Linked DNA regions of Caenorhabditis elegans. The protein of the gene in region 2 interacts with the protein of the main gene of each other region in a pairwise test. Each region holds a gene or a part of one and is shown on either strand. Other genes may lie near its edges.

The links. The genes of interacting proteins can lie anywhere in the genome.
Region 1: the proteins of mab-3 (region 2) and irx-1 interact in a two-hybrid assay, tested with the Caenorhabditis elegans proteins (one large-scale study listed by BioGRID).

What each region holds. Positions count from the first base shown.
Region 1 is NC_003279.8:9,535,948-9,542,663, forward strand, and holds irx-1 (Putative iroquois-class homeodomain protein irx-1), read right to left. Parts: upstream 5,020-6,716; 5' UTR 4,939-5,019; coding exon 4,918-4,938; intron 4,386-4,917; coding exon 3,924-4,385; intron 3,724-3,923; exon of another isoform or gene 3,584-3,723; intron 3,329-3,583; coding exon 2,969-3,328; intron 2,469-2,968; coding exon 2,258-2,468; intron 1,252-2,257; coding exon 1,172-1,251; 3' UTR 518-1,171; downstream 1-517.
Region 2 is NC_003280.10:9,730,609-9,738,235, reverse strand, and holds mab-3 (Protein male abnormal 3), read right to left. Parts: upstream 6,006-7,627; 5' UTR 5,934-6,005; intron 4,825-5,933; 5' UTR 4,815-4,824; coding exon 4,672-4,814; intron 3,226-4,671; exon of another isoform or gene 3,225-3,225; coding exon 3,146-3,224; intron 2,468-3,145; coding exon 2,321-2,467; intron 1,952-2,320; coding exon 1,780-1,951; intron 1,275-1,779; coding exon 943-1,274; 3' UTR 201-942; downstream 1-200. UniProt on the Caenorhabditis elegans protein: Transcription factor which binds the DNA motif 5'-[CGA][TCA][TA]ACAATGT[AT][TGA]C-3', probably as a monomer.

The DNA.
Region 1 (6,716 bases), on a different chromosome or scaffold from region 2:
TTTTTAAGAATCATGATATTTCTTTTTAAAAAAAGCTTCCAAAATGTACATATGTCTACATTTACACATCCCCTAAATTTCAAGAGGTCGGCAAAAAACAGTAATGGGAAAATAAACTAAAAAGACTTCAATTGAATTTTTAAGTGGAAATTTAAAAAAAAAACGCTAAAACGTCTAAATATCATTGTGAACCTTTTCAGAAATTTTTATTTACAGCCAAAATGTGGTGATAACTTAGTTTTACCAATCATAATTTGACAGTCGACCAAAAAAAATATATCATCAACCAGTTTTATACGTTTTTAATTTTGTTTCTATAACCATTTGTGTTTTAAAAATTCTATGTTTTTGAACATGAAGCAATGCTCAAAATTACTTTAAAAGTGCACGTTCTTGATAACCGAAATGTTGTCACTAATTCAGCCTGCAATTCTTTGAAATGGTTGCAGTATTTTGTGCAATTAAATGTATATCCATTTTCATGATTTTTTGTTAGCTTAAAATATATTCAAGAAATAAATATTAAACCTTCTTCATTTTCTAAATTATGCGTGCAGGTTGTTGTATCTTTCTCACAAAAAACTGTAAATTGTCAAAGAAATGAGATGGGATTGTAAGAAAAGTGGGTTTGCGTGAAGAGATTTGAAGCGAATTGGTGGGAAAAAGCAAGAAAAAAAGAAAATTGTTTCTAAAGTACTCCAATTATTGGCGGGAAATTGAGAAAACCGATCATAAGCTCAAAAACTAGATGCATCCTGTGAAAAATTGTGTGGAATTGAAATAATAATAATGTTAATAATGTGAGAAAAAACTGGGAGAAATTGGGGGAAAAAATAGAGAAAGAGAGACAAAAAATTCATAGTCATGGAATTCATATAAAGTTTAAAAGAACATAAAAAAGCAAATGAATGAGAAAGAAAAAGCCTATATGGTGCTACAGTAACCGAATGAAATTTTTGATGGGATGTGAATATTTGGGAGACAATACTGTACTGTACATAGAGAGAGACCAAAATAATCGAAACTTAAATGGGATGGAGAAAAAAATGAAATTCAAAGACCCGCTGTTTATATCATATTTTCTCGATTTCAGAGTTCTTAGTGGAGGAGGTGAAACTTTGAGAGAGTACAATATTCATTTAAAAAAATTAAACTTAATAAGCTGGGGTTTCTACTCTTGGTGGGACCGTGGAGACGACGTTGGAGAAGATGCTGGAGATGGCGTCGACGTCTCCGCTTGAGAGTTCAGACCTGAAATTATTTATTCATTAAAATCAAGGCTTAAAAATTGTTCAAAGATTTTTTAAATATTGTATATTGCAATAAACCTAGGCACCAAGTCAATTAAGCTATATTTCAAAAGTTTTTGAAATTTTTAGTTTTTGAAAGTTTTAAGATTGAGTTGTGTGAAAAATGATCTGATTTTTTGAAAATTATTAAAATCTCCAAAAAGCTTTCAGAATGTTTTTTGCATCTAAACAACCTTAAAATCACTAAAATAATGTAAAATCCGGATTTAGAGCAGCTTGACATGCTTGTATTTGAAGGAATGCTCTGAGAAATTTCAGTTCAACGTTTCAAATAAGACTAGGCTTTCTAGTTTTTCCCCATATTGGTCAACTAGAATTGCTTTTACATGTTCAATAAGTTATAAGAAAGTGTTTCCCATCAACTATACGAACGGATCAAATCGGCAATTTATCATTCGGTGACTTGACTCCGGGAGCAGCGCTCCTTTTTTGGACAAAAACTGAGTGACGAAGAACACGCGGTTTAGAAAAACGAGCACACTAATCCGTGGGGTCAATGAGGAGACACTTACTTCAGTTTAAGCCCTTTTTCGTTGCCTTTGACGTTTCGAACAAAATTATTACATAGAAAAGAACTCCTCTTTCTGAGCTAAAACATTTGAAAAGGATCTAGAACTTAAGTGTAGACCCTCTTTTGTTAATGCCTATCTAGAAGCTGTAGCTACTGAACTTTCCCCTTATAATGTGTATCAGAAAACATACACCTATTATCAGTAAATATGGGATGATTAGTGCATTAAATAGCAAAAAAACTGAGCGTCACGACAGGATAACAACTTTAAAATTAAGAGGATTACGTTTCGACTTTTCTTGTTCATGTACAAGCACGCACGGTGTTCAACTAGCTGTCAATCATTCGGAATACCCAAAAAAAGAATGATAAGAAAAAGCAGACAGGTTGCCATGTAACAAAATGTAAGAAAAGTGTATTCACCTGCTCACCTCACCTGCTTCATTTGGAGGAGTTGTTTGTGGTGCCAAAAGTGCAAGTTGTTGCCCTTGAGCAGCTTGTTGGGCTAGAAGTTGGAACATGAATGGGTGCATTGTGTGACGGAACAAAGTTGGATCCAATCGTGCCATTACTTCCATTTGTTTTTTCATTGCGTTTTGGAACAAGCTTCCCGTTAATAGATTTTCGTCTGATGATGGTGGAGAATCCTAAATAAAAAGATGTTTGCTAGGGGTTACCATTATTCATCATCTTGAACTAAATTACTTCACTTTAACAACTTTATGAAAAATATAAGCTGCCAAAAGGCACTGCTGTATGCTTCAATGTATCTTCCAAGTACAGTAACCCATGCCTAAACTTTACAATATGACCCCCTGATCTCCCATCAATTCCTTAATGTACTTTATGAAAATGTATAAAACCATCATTCAATCATGTTTGTTGTTAAAGCGGCACAGTTTTGTCGGCTGCTTCACACTCACCTCACAAGTTTGCACATACACACATACAAATGATTCATACTAGTTTACATCTCTATAAAATGTGCAGAACAAGATGAAGGGAGAGGAGGACTCTTTATTTGCCCCTACTAAACATATAATAGTTTTTAAGTCCATTTCGTAAAACTGTTAGAATAAGAGGGAAGATGGGGAAAACTATAAAATCTGTACAATGTATTTTATGATCTAAACTTTTTTGCTCTCACCTTCTTTGATGAATCGTCATCTGAAGTGACATCGGCAATCGACCACATTTTTGGTTTACGCTTCGGACTTTCAGAATCATCATTTGGAATTGGGGATACTAGTTCTTTCTTCGGTGTTGTCAACTCATCTGATCCTCCAGATCCTCCCGAAGGCGTTGGTGATGCTAGATGTGGCTTTCCGAATAGGGATTCTCCTTTTCTTTCGGAATTTATGGATGTTGAGCTTGATGGACGGTTCATGTCATCATCATCGTCGTCTTCATCGTCATCACAACCATCGCCTCGTCGATTTTGTGGTGACCAAGTCATCTTGTTCTCCTTCTTCAGTCGTCTTCTGGCGTTAGCAAACCATGTCGAGACCTGTAATTAAAAATATAAATTTCAAGCTTCGGCTTTGTTTTTCGGGCTAGAGTTTATTTTAATAAAATAACTTCAAAGTTTTGGTTCAAACAATTTTAAAATCTAATTTTTGGCGCCAAGGTTGTGTGTTGTTGGTCTATTGCAACAAAATCAAACAAGTAGTAGCCCTATTTGGTTTGAAACATTTCTCGTATTGTGTAAAGAATGTCTCTCGAAACACATTAATTAAGCGGGGTACGAGGTGTCATCATCATCGCTTATCGCCTCTGTACATCTTTTGTTTCTCGCCCCTCTTTTTTTGGCATCGGTCAAAAAAGGAGACATTTGCCCCCGGGGTTTGATGGCCGGTGAGTGGCTAATGTTACAATAACACTGCGGGAAACACTGTCTACTACATTTTACAACAATATTTTTTGTGGTATTTGTAATTGATGACTAGAGGCGGCTCTAAAATCCCGTGTGAGCTAATAAATTGAGCAAATATTGTGGAGTAAATTACGAGATTACGGTTGGTAATAGGCTATTACGGCTATTAAATCATTTCACAGTGTTGCATTTACTAATTGTTGTCAAAACAAGAAATAATACAACATACCTGTGTAAGTGTCATTCCTGTACCAACTGCCAACATAACTTTATCAGCTTTTGATGGATATGGATTCTTTCTATGAGAATGAAGCCAATCTTTGAGTGGTGCAGTTGCTTCTCGTGTTGCATTTCTTTTCTTGATTCCATCTAAACCATATGGATGATATAAACGATGAGCATCACTGAAGAACATGGGCATCGGTCCTGGCCCTCCACCTAATAACATTTCTGGTTTCAGATCTGCTGGAATTCCATGTGGAAACATCGGAACTCCGGGGAAGCCAGCAAGAGTTGCTTGTTGAGCGGCGGCGGCGGCTTGAGCTTGAGCAGCGAGAACTTGAGCCATGGCAGGATGGAAATGAAATTGACCTAAAAGGTTTGGTGGCAGAATTCCGCGAAGTGCATCCGGAGCTGAAGTGGGTGGAGCAGGAGTCGTTGTTTGTGGTGTTGTGGGCTCTTCCATTTTGACCTGGAAATGGATTTACTTTTCTAGTCAGGTGAAGTGAAGGTATCCAAACGAATAAATCTGACATTTGGCATCTAAATTTTTTGGAAGGAAGTATTTTGAGACTGTGTTCAAATGTTGTCTAATCTAAGATTTATGTAAAAATTGGTAGGAATCGAAAACGAAAACCTTGTCCAAGCTTTGACAACTTCTCAACTGCAATTTTCTATATTAGACTTGCACCCCCCTCTTCCTTCACTTTGACAGTTTATATCTCAGTTCTTTGTGGTTTTATTAAAAAACTTCAAACGGACAATTTACTTGCAAAATAATTTTCTATGTTTTGGTTGTATAACACTTTTTGATAAAGCTGAAGGCAACCGAGATATAAACCGCCAAGCAGTGGCGGTGCAAGGTTAACATGGCAATTGGAAAGAGCAGGAAGTTGACTCCAAGTGTCAAGAAGGACAAAAATGAAATAAATAAATGTAAGAACACTACTTGAGAATATAGAAATTATAATTTAGCTTATTAAACTTATCGCTTAAAAACTGACCTGATTGGCAATAGGAATCATTGTGATGGTGTAGTAGAAGTAGATGTGTTGATCTCAGTACAAGTGCAGAAACAATAGTTGATAAGTATGATTATTTATGATCTGAAGAACACATTGATATCAGTTATAATTCCAGAGCAGTTTTTTGTTGAAAAAGATAGACAGAGAGAGTGAGAGAGAGGCAGAGAGGCGACGAAATCAAGAGGGAGCAAAGGAGGAGCGATTCAGTGATAAGCATAGAAGAGAAAGAGAAAAGGTTTGATTGATAATTCTTGAAGAAATTGAGATGATGTAGAACTATGTGGGACCTTATGTTCAACAACTTGTTGAGCAATCTCGATTTTCTGCAGATGCCCGCCCGGGGCCGTGTGTGTCTCTCTCTCTCTCTCAAGTCCCGCCCACCATCCAATAGACATGGAAGCCACAGGGCGGGGCCTGGAGAGTAGGGAAAGAAATTGAAGAAGCGCAAAAAACACGTGCGAACACGTAGATTTAACAAGATAAACCGGAGAAATTCACGAAGAGAAACGGAAAAGAATCGGAGTAAAGAGAAGTAGAAGAAGATGATGATGAAGGATACAAGAATCGAACGGAAAGAAAACAAATTGATGATATGGCAACTAAAAGAGATTGAAAGATAAACAATTAACCGTTCCAGCTAATGATTGTAAGAATGATGATGGTTTTGATATCTTACTATTTCATTGTTTAGTGTTATTATTTCCAAGTTTGATTCTAGAATTGTTATTTTTGTGCAAAAAAAATCTTTCGAACCTAATACCTCTCTACCTCTACCAATTATCAAGTTTGGGAATGAAAATTAAGAAATACAAGAACCAAAAATCTCAATAAATGTATTCACAAGGACGAAGAGCAAACAAGTTGTAAATTTGCTGGCTGGCTCACGAATGGAAACTGAAAATTGAAGCAAATAACGGGAAGAGGAAGCTTTGGAAGGATCATTGCATAGAGTTTAATCCGAAATATTGGCAGGATGAAGAGAAAAAAAGTATAAACATTTGAAAGTTAAAAAGTAAAACGACGGAAAATCTAGAGAGTACTATCAAATGACCCGAACACACAATGGCGCCACGAACAAAAAAAGGACAAAGGAGAAGAAGCTGAAATCAGTGAACTTAAGTCAAGAATGATACATCGTAGAAGCAATTAGGTAATGGTCAGAACGGTTTGTAGGGGGACAAGAATTGAGAGAATAGAAGTTTAAAATGGCATGTCTCTTGTTGTCCGAAGCGGGGTGTAAAGAAGTGTAGCTGCTGGATAGGGGGCGCCGGCGAGAGTAAGTGGCCAACGATGGCGCTGATGACGATGATGAAGAAAAAGAAAATGGAGAAGAAAAAGGTAAAAAAAGAGGACACGGTGTAATACATTTACTATTGTGTCAGTTATTGTGTTAACATCTCTCTTTGGGTCATTCGATCATTTAGTTATTACAACATGTAACAACAACACATATATAGTAACATAAAGTTGCAACAAAAAAAGTTCAATGGCGGAAGTTTGTACTAATACAGGAAGATGTAGGTACATATGAGCCAAACAAGACAAAAAGGTGTATGGTAGGGAGATTGATGTCAAACGATGATGAGAAAGCGATGGAGGAGGAGTCATTGGGCGGAGTCAATCGCCGGGGGAGGAACACGGGAGGTAGGAGGGTGTAGACATGAGGTCGCGGCACAATTTATGAGGAGCTGGAGCCAGAAGATGATGAAGCTGTGGAATTGAAGTAGAAGAAGCAACTAGTTAATGGGTTTTGGTGCTTTCCAGAGAGCGGTGTTGTT
Region 2 (7,627 bases):
AGTTTAAATTTAAAAAAAATATGTTTTCTGAAACAGGAGAAATTGGGAAATACCCTATGGTACGGTAACGGAAAAGTTTCATTCGTGCTAAGACCTTGTCTATGGGTTTCTACATGGCCGCGGAAGAGAAAGCTCGGCCGCCAACTTTTTTTCTGGAAATTGCTGTACGATCAAGTTTGCATACAGAACCAAGACGATTTAAAAATGAAAAGTTTATTGAAAAATCAAAAATAATAAAAATAAATCAATAATTATTAGACTCGATGCGTCGTGTGTTTGTATGTTTGGAAGTTCTATACATTTTTCTCTCCAAAAAATGTTTGGTTTTTTAAAACCAAAACATTAAAAAACATGATTTCACTTTTTTTCAAAATTATTACCACCGGGGGTGTCTAAAACGGACCGGTTAACTGTTTAGGATTTGATCCTATTTTCCGAGATAAAACAAAGAGAGAGGGAACGAGAATGAGAGACGCAGAGCGAGAAACAATACAGTAATCCTGGGAAAGTGTGGGCGGAGCTCAGCTCAATTTGGGCGGGGACAGTGGGAAATCGATGCAAACGGAAGAATATCGGTGAAATTTGGGAATTTTCGAAGAAATTGATGACATGATTAGGTGGCGAAGAGACATAGAAAGATAGTATGTGGTTTGGTGAGAGACGAAAAGATTATTTGAATTTAAAAAAAATGGGGATTTTTGGAATAACACAAGCGGTCTTGAAGACGAGAAAAAAATCGGTAAATTGGTTGGTTCACTTGGTGAAAAATGAATGAAAAAATTAGAAAATATAACAAAATTGGTAAAAAGTGAAAATTCAAGAAAATATGAAAAAATCATTGAGTTTGAAACCAAAGATAAAAAGAGATTGTGTGGAAAATTAAGCAAAGAAGGGAAACATACAATTTTTCTAAAAATCAATAATTGGTCAAAATTATAGATCTTAGGCTTGCAGACCATAATTTTTCAGATACATACTCCAGAACTCATTCAAAATTGCTGCCGATGAGACAGAACCTGCAGAAATGCCTGGAAGGAGTGGAGCCTGTTGTCCGATTGATGGAGCCATATTTTGAATAATGCTCATCAGGAACTGTTGTTGTTGCAAGCTTATCAATTGTTGATTCATTGGGATCGGCGGATAGATTGGAATCGGAGCAGCCAGCGTCAGAGTGTATTGAGCCAGAAGTGGAGATGGAGAGCATGGTGGAGACATTGAAAGGGATGGGGACATTGTATCAGTGGTTGAGGATGGAGATGGACTTGCTGATGTTCCTGGAATATTATAGATTTAATTTCTTTGAAGCTACAATATAAATTTTAACTGTCTGCGTTGATATTTGCATCAAAATTACCACTTTTTTGTCTTCCCCTGAATTTTGAAAATACATTGGCTTAAGTGGTAATTATCTTTAAGGCAAAGTAACTTTCAGGGCAGGGCCCGCCTGATAGGTAAGCAGAAAGACATATTCTATAACTGAGAAGTTGTACCAATTTGAGATTCTAGACATATTTGAAATTAACCTCTTAACTTTCGTAATTGTTTATTGATGCGTTTGGATATTCCCGTATTTGATTGTTTCGGTACGAAAAATTGGAAATAACAAGTAGCCATTTTATATAATCTATGAGTTGATGGTAAAATCTATGTTTCTGATAACGTTAATACGTACCGTCAACTCTAGAATTACTTCCGACTGGATTTCAGGTTTAGACTCCAATTTTTGTGATTCTGACTTAAAGCTCAATTTACACACTTCTACAAAATCCCATAGCTTACCAATTATCTTTTGACCATCTGTAGCTGTGACAACCATCATCTCCATATCCATATCTTTCGATTTTCTACGAGAGTTCCTTTTTGGTTCTTTACCATCTCGGGATTTCTGTTGTGATCTGCGTAATTTGATTTGAGCCGCCATAAGATTTCGACGGTGTTCCACAAGAGTACACTGAAAAATAATATTTTTAAACTCGAAAATCGTAGTTCTGTTTACGCGTTTTCAAAAATCTCACACAAATTAATGTGGCAACTTTCTCTGTCAGTCCAAGAGCATGCTCCAAGTTGCCTGCTCCACAACAATTTTTAAAAAGTCAATTCGTAGCACTGTTGCATTAAAAATACTTCGAAATAGTTGAAACTTATCAAAATGTTTCAAAAAGTCACATTCTCAAATCTCATTGGCAAGCCACTCCCCCATTTCCCTACAGTACTTTTATAATCCTATAATTTCTTCGCGCAGGTGACATTGAAAAGCATAAAAACTGCAATGTTGTCAAGGGCGCCTGACTGCCGATGATGACAGTATAATTACACTTACCAATGTACACTCGCATGTCACAAATTGGCACATTGTCCGCTTGTGTCCCCGCAATGGGACTAGGACTCCGTGAGCCGAGCACCGAGCACAGTGTGGGTCACGGACACGCTTCCCATCACGGGTTTGAGTTGCCGGTGTGCAGTGGATCTGGAAATTTGGAAAGGTTTATAAGGGGTCCCGCTAAAAAGTGTTTTATTTTCACAGTAATATTATAGGAGTTAATGCAATCACAAAAACAATAACCAAGAAATTCGGTATAAACTTTCAGTAGGCTCAAGAATGCTTGCAGTCAATGCAGCCTACAATTGCCTCATACCTACACGCATACCCATGGTCCAAAGTGAGCATTTTTCTCATTTAAAAATACACTTTCAACAAATAACTGAAATAAAACAATAAGGTAGGTACGCCTATAGATGGCCAGGCAATGACCTATATGTGACTTGCCACAACAAGAGCCCCTTTTGAAAAAGAACAACTTCATGAAAAATATACCTACCCTTAAAAAAATCCGATAAAATCAATCTTTTTCTCACTTTTTCTTTGCTTTTCACACTCTATCTATTCGTATCTTCAATTGTTTTTCTTACAAAAAGAGAAAAAAGCCAAGACGTCAACCCACTTTTCATTTTGAAAATGTCAGATTTGATCTGAAGTTGCGATTTTTTGGTGAACTGATAAGATGTGGTATTTAAGTGCGTGAGAACGCACATACAACCTTCAAGACCGCCTACACCGCGAAACAGAAATGTAGGCAGACAGGAATGAGGTAAGGCACAGCCACCTACAGCCACACCTACCATAGAATCCCTATAGAATACTCACCTTCTTTTTGCTTAGCAAATTGTTCAACTGTCTTCGCTGCTCGACCATCGTGCATTCTCGACATGGACATTTTAGATATCTGTAAAATGTTCGTCTTGTTTATTTTTCAGTGCCACTTGGTGTCATCGACGGGAGAATTTTGTAGTTGTACAGTAACCCGCCCACCCATTCAAATATTTTATTAGACTTTTCACAATAGAGATAGGCCCTATCTTTTGTTAAAAATTATATGAACTGAAAAAATTGGGAGAAAAAAAAAATTGGGTGAGGAATTTTACGACTGTATAGGTCATTGTGGAATGGTTTGTTTGAAAAGTGAGTGTATCTGTGTGATTGGATGTCAAAAAATGAATGAAGATTTTTGAATGAAAAGCAAACATAATTTTTTAATAATTTTCGGTTCCAAAAAAAATAATAAAAAAGGCTGAAAAATTTTTAGTTGCTTGAATTGTCTCAAACTGATCCCAAACAACCAAAATTCATGATGTAACTTCCCAAACATATCTCGAAAAAAAAGAAGCGCTTTTTTGAATTTATCTAAACATTGGAAAAAATGATCGACCGAAGAAGAAGCTGGCAGAATTTCACTAGTTTTTTTTTTAATTTTTAACCGGATAGATATTATTTTTGTAAAGCCTAATAATGAAATTCGGTCGTTTCGGGCGAGTTTTGGATATTTAAACCAGAGAAGTACAAATTCTTTAAACGAGCGTTTAAAAAAACCTAAAAAGAGTAACACACCTTGATATACATATTATTAAATGTGTAGTAGCGAAATCAGGGAATTAAAAAAATTTCACATAGGTATTCAAAAAACTCTTGTAGTCATTTTAAAATGTTTCCCAGATTTCGCTAATCCATCTTCAATTTAGCTTAGTGATAATTGTCGTCATTGCAAGATCTTTTTGAGTCATCTTTCACCTTGGTGAAACATCTACAGTATCCCTAGACCACCTTCAAAATGGTTTAGGTTAATGTATAAAACATAACTTTTTGCCTCTTTGCATTTTCCCATTCTTCTCCTCCGTTTTTCGCGTCCATATAATAATTCGTTTTTGACCCCCCTCACTCATATAATAACAATTTCACCTGTATGGGTGGTATTTTTCGCTTTAAATCGACAAGGTCAGCTGTTTTTTCTTGCTTTGCGTCTTTTCTTGCCCGATCGTAATCGGTAGACGAACATCTCAAATTTTACGGGTGTCTTTGTCGGAGGGCTTCGCGAAAAAAAAAACTGATGGTGGGTGAATAAGGTCGGTGACGCGACAATTTTGAGATAAAATTTGGAATTTGGAGTATTTATGGATAAACTACATACTTTTTCGGCACAACAAAAGTTACAAAAAGTTCATTAAACAGTTGTTAACTTTTTATCGTTGCAAGACCCAAAATTATCAAAAAATTCAAGAGTTTAAGCATTAAAACGTGATGTATATAATTAAGGGTGAATGAGGGAGAAACATGGAATGACAAAATAGTTTTCAGATGAAATGTAGTTTAAAAATGCAAAAAAAACCATTGCTCACCTACAATCCGGCTTGTGACCTTTCCTTGGCTTCAACTCCCCATGATTTAAACATCTCTGACAATAATAATTTTTTTCTTGCTCGGCGAGCTCATCGACTGCTTTCGCCTCACAAATCTCCGATACGGGATCCTCGGTGAGCATTAGAGCTCCTCTGCAAAATTTTTTCAGATTATGAATTTAGTTGTTTTTGTTGAAATTTTTATTTTTAATTAGGGAATTAAAAAGAGGGATCTATAAGCATTATATGAAACTGCTATACTCTAATCTTGACTTATAAAATAATTACGAAATTTTGAAAATGTCGTGGAAAAGTCAAATTTTCAAGACTGATTTTTGTGAGAAAGAACATTTTTTCGCCAAAAATATTGTTCTTTGCATCGGAACAAATTTTCAATTTTTTAAAGGAGCAGCTGGTAATGCGAATTTTTTTTGTAATACTGTATCTTTTCTAGTTTCCAGTGTATATCTTTCGGATTAAAAAAATTTTCAAAGTAAAGTAAAAAAATTTTCTTTTCCTATAATGTTAAGAATTTTGAGAATTTAAAACAGAAAATTTAGAGAGCTTTGAAACCAGTTTTTTTTTCTTCAAAAATTACAGATAGCTCAAACATATATAAAATACGTTTTTATAATCTAAATGTTCAATTCAACGTTGGGCTCATTCTGTGACTTTAAATGTGGAATAAAGTTGGGCTACTGTATGTTTTTAAACCTGCAATAGTTAAAAATGTTAAAAACCAGTTTGAAATTTTTTCTTATAAAGAATTTTTCAGAACGGATATACATGGAATTTCAATATTTAATGGCAACAAAGTTTTATTAATTTACAGAACCGTATTGCTTATTTGACTTGAAGGAAAAAAAGAGCAAATAAATTTCTAAATAAAATACGTTTGAAGTTTTTCAAACCTAACTGCAAACTTTATAAAATCACAAAAATCGATTAATTGCAACTGGCAACATTTGATCGTGTTACAAAAGGTTCAATTTTTAATCAATTAGAGGTTTTTATCAAGAAATAATTTTTTGTAGAGACTAAAACCAAGACAAACAGACAAGTCAGGAGCTACAGTATTTCTACAATGTACATCAGATCAAATGTTCAAGTTTTTGTTAAGCCATTTTCTCAAAAATTTCAAAGAGTAGACTGTTAGGAAAGTCAGCCACAAATTGTAGACGCAAAGATGGAAACATTTTCACATAATTTTACTGTTTTCAAAAACCCCAAAAAATTATTCTGAATCGACTGGAAGCACCTACCCAAAAGTACAATTTCCTCCAACAAGGGGTCAAGATCGAGCTCCTAGAGCACCGATAGCATTCAAATATCGAAAAGAAAAGGAAAAGAGGGAGTAATAGGCACTCCCCTCCTGTGAAACGGGGCGGGTCCCAGCAAGAAAGAGTCGCGGCGACGAAGCGCCGCCTCTTTTTTGGCGACTGATGCCACCCGCGATTGGATAGAAGACCTCACACGACGATAATTAGAGAACGCCGAACGTGAGAAAACCTGGTAAGAGACGCCAGACAAACATATATCGGGAGGGAGCGGCGCCCCGAGACTATGGCGGTGGAGGGGGACACCGCTATCAGTTCTCGCGACGACATATTTTTTCTCTGGCTGACACTCCGCGAATCGTGTGATCTCTGCGTTTTTTGGGGACACCTGTAAGTACGTGTGATCATGGAAAGAGAAGAGACGAGAGAAAATTGCAAACTTTTAGTTTTTTATTTTATTTCCTGTAACTCAATTTTTATAGGTTTTGTTCGAACTTTTATTATCATTCGTTGGGTAGGCTTTTCTAGACTTTTCTGTATTTTAGAAAACTATTAAACATTCCTGGAATGTGACCTACCTTGCTTTAAAGGAAATTGAAACTATGTCTAGAATTATGGATCCACAAGTTGGAACCTTGGAGCCTATATAGAAAGCTTAATTATATTTTTTTTTCGAGGAAAAATACAATTCTTGAGCTTTTTTTCAGTCCATAGGGCCAAGATCCCGGCACCGGGCTGTAGAAAAAATTAGGACTGGAAATTCATAACTGCTCCCATGTGACCTAATTAATATTCATAAGCTAAGTACTTTCTTTCAGCTTTTACTAGCTTTTTTCATTTCTTCATTTGAATCTTAACCCCCCAACCCAACCACAATTTTTTTTCTGAACACCCGCGTCACCAGTTTCAGATTGATTACATATCTAAGCCTACAGTAATCCAATATTTCTCAATTTCGCCTAATGAGCACCTTCAGGTCTTGTGTTCAGTTAGCAGAGAGAGAATGAAAATTGGCAGTTTCAACGCACACATTTGATCTCGACTGTGTCCTCGAAATGGAAAGGAGAAGAAGCGGTAGAAACAAAGTGGGATTGACAAGAAAATTACAGAGGAAACATTTTTGGTAAAGGTTGATTTGGACCTGAAAATATATTAGGAATGTTTTCGAGAGAAGCTACCAAAAACTTTGAAAAGTAATAGTTTTGTTGAAAACTGTCTTACCAACTGTCAAAGTTCTAGTGACTCACTATTTAGTCAAACCGTTTTTCAATTACCAAGATTTGAAGTTTCAGTCAAAAATTATTGACCTGCAATGGATAACAATTTTCAATATGACTTTTAAAGTTTCAGTAATTTAAATTTCTCAAATTTTCCCGAACCAAAGATATTTCCAGTTCCACTTTATAAATGTCGTTAAAAAATTTTAGGTTTGAGAACCAACTTTCTAAAGGAATTGCTGATAAATTTTGACTAAATTCTTGTTTTCAAATGTTGCCGAATGGACTGTATTTACTCTGAACATTCTCTGTACTCCAAAGAGATCACCACATCGAGTCTAGACAGTCTCAACTCGCTCACTACCCGCCCCGCTGATTGTTTCGCTCGTAGGAAAAAAACGGCTGAAGTGTGAGAGTGAACGAACATTCCGTCGTGTTTATCTTGTTGAAATAGTGCAGGTT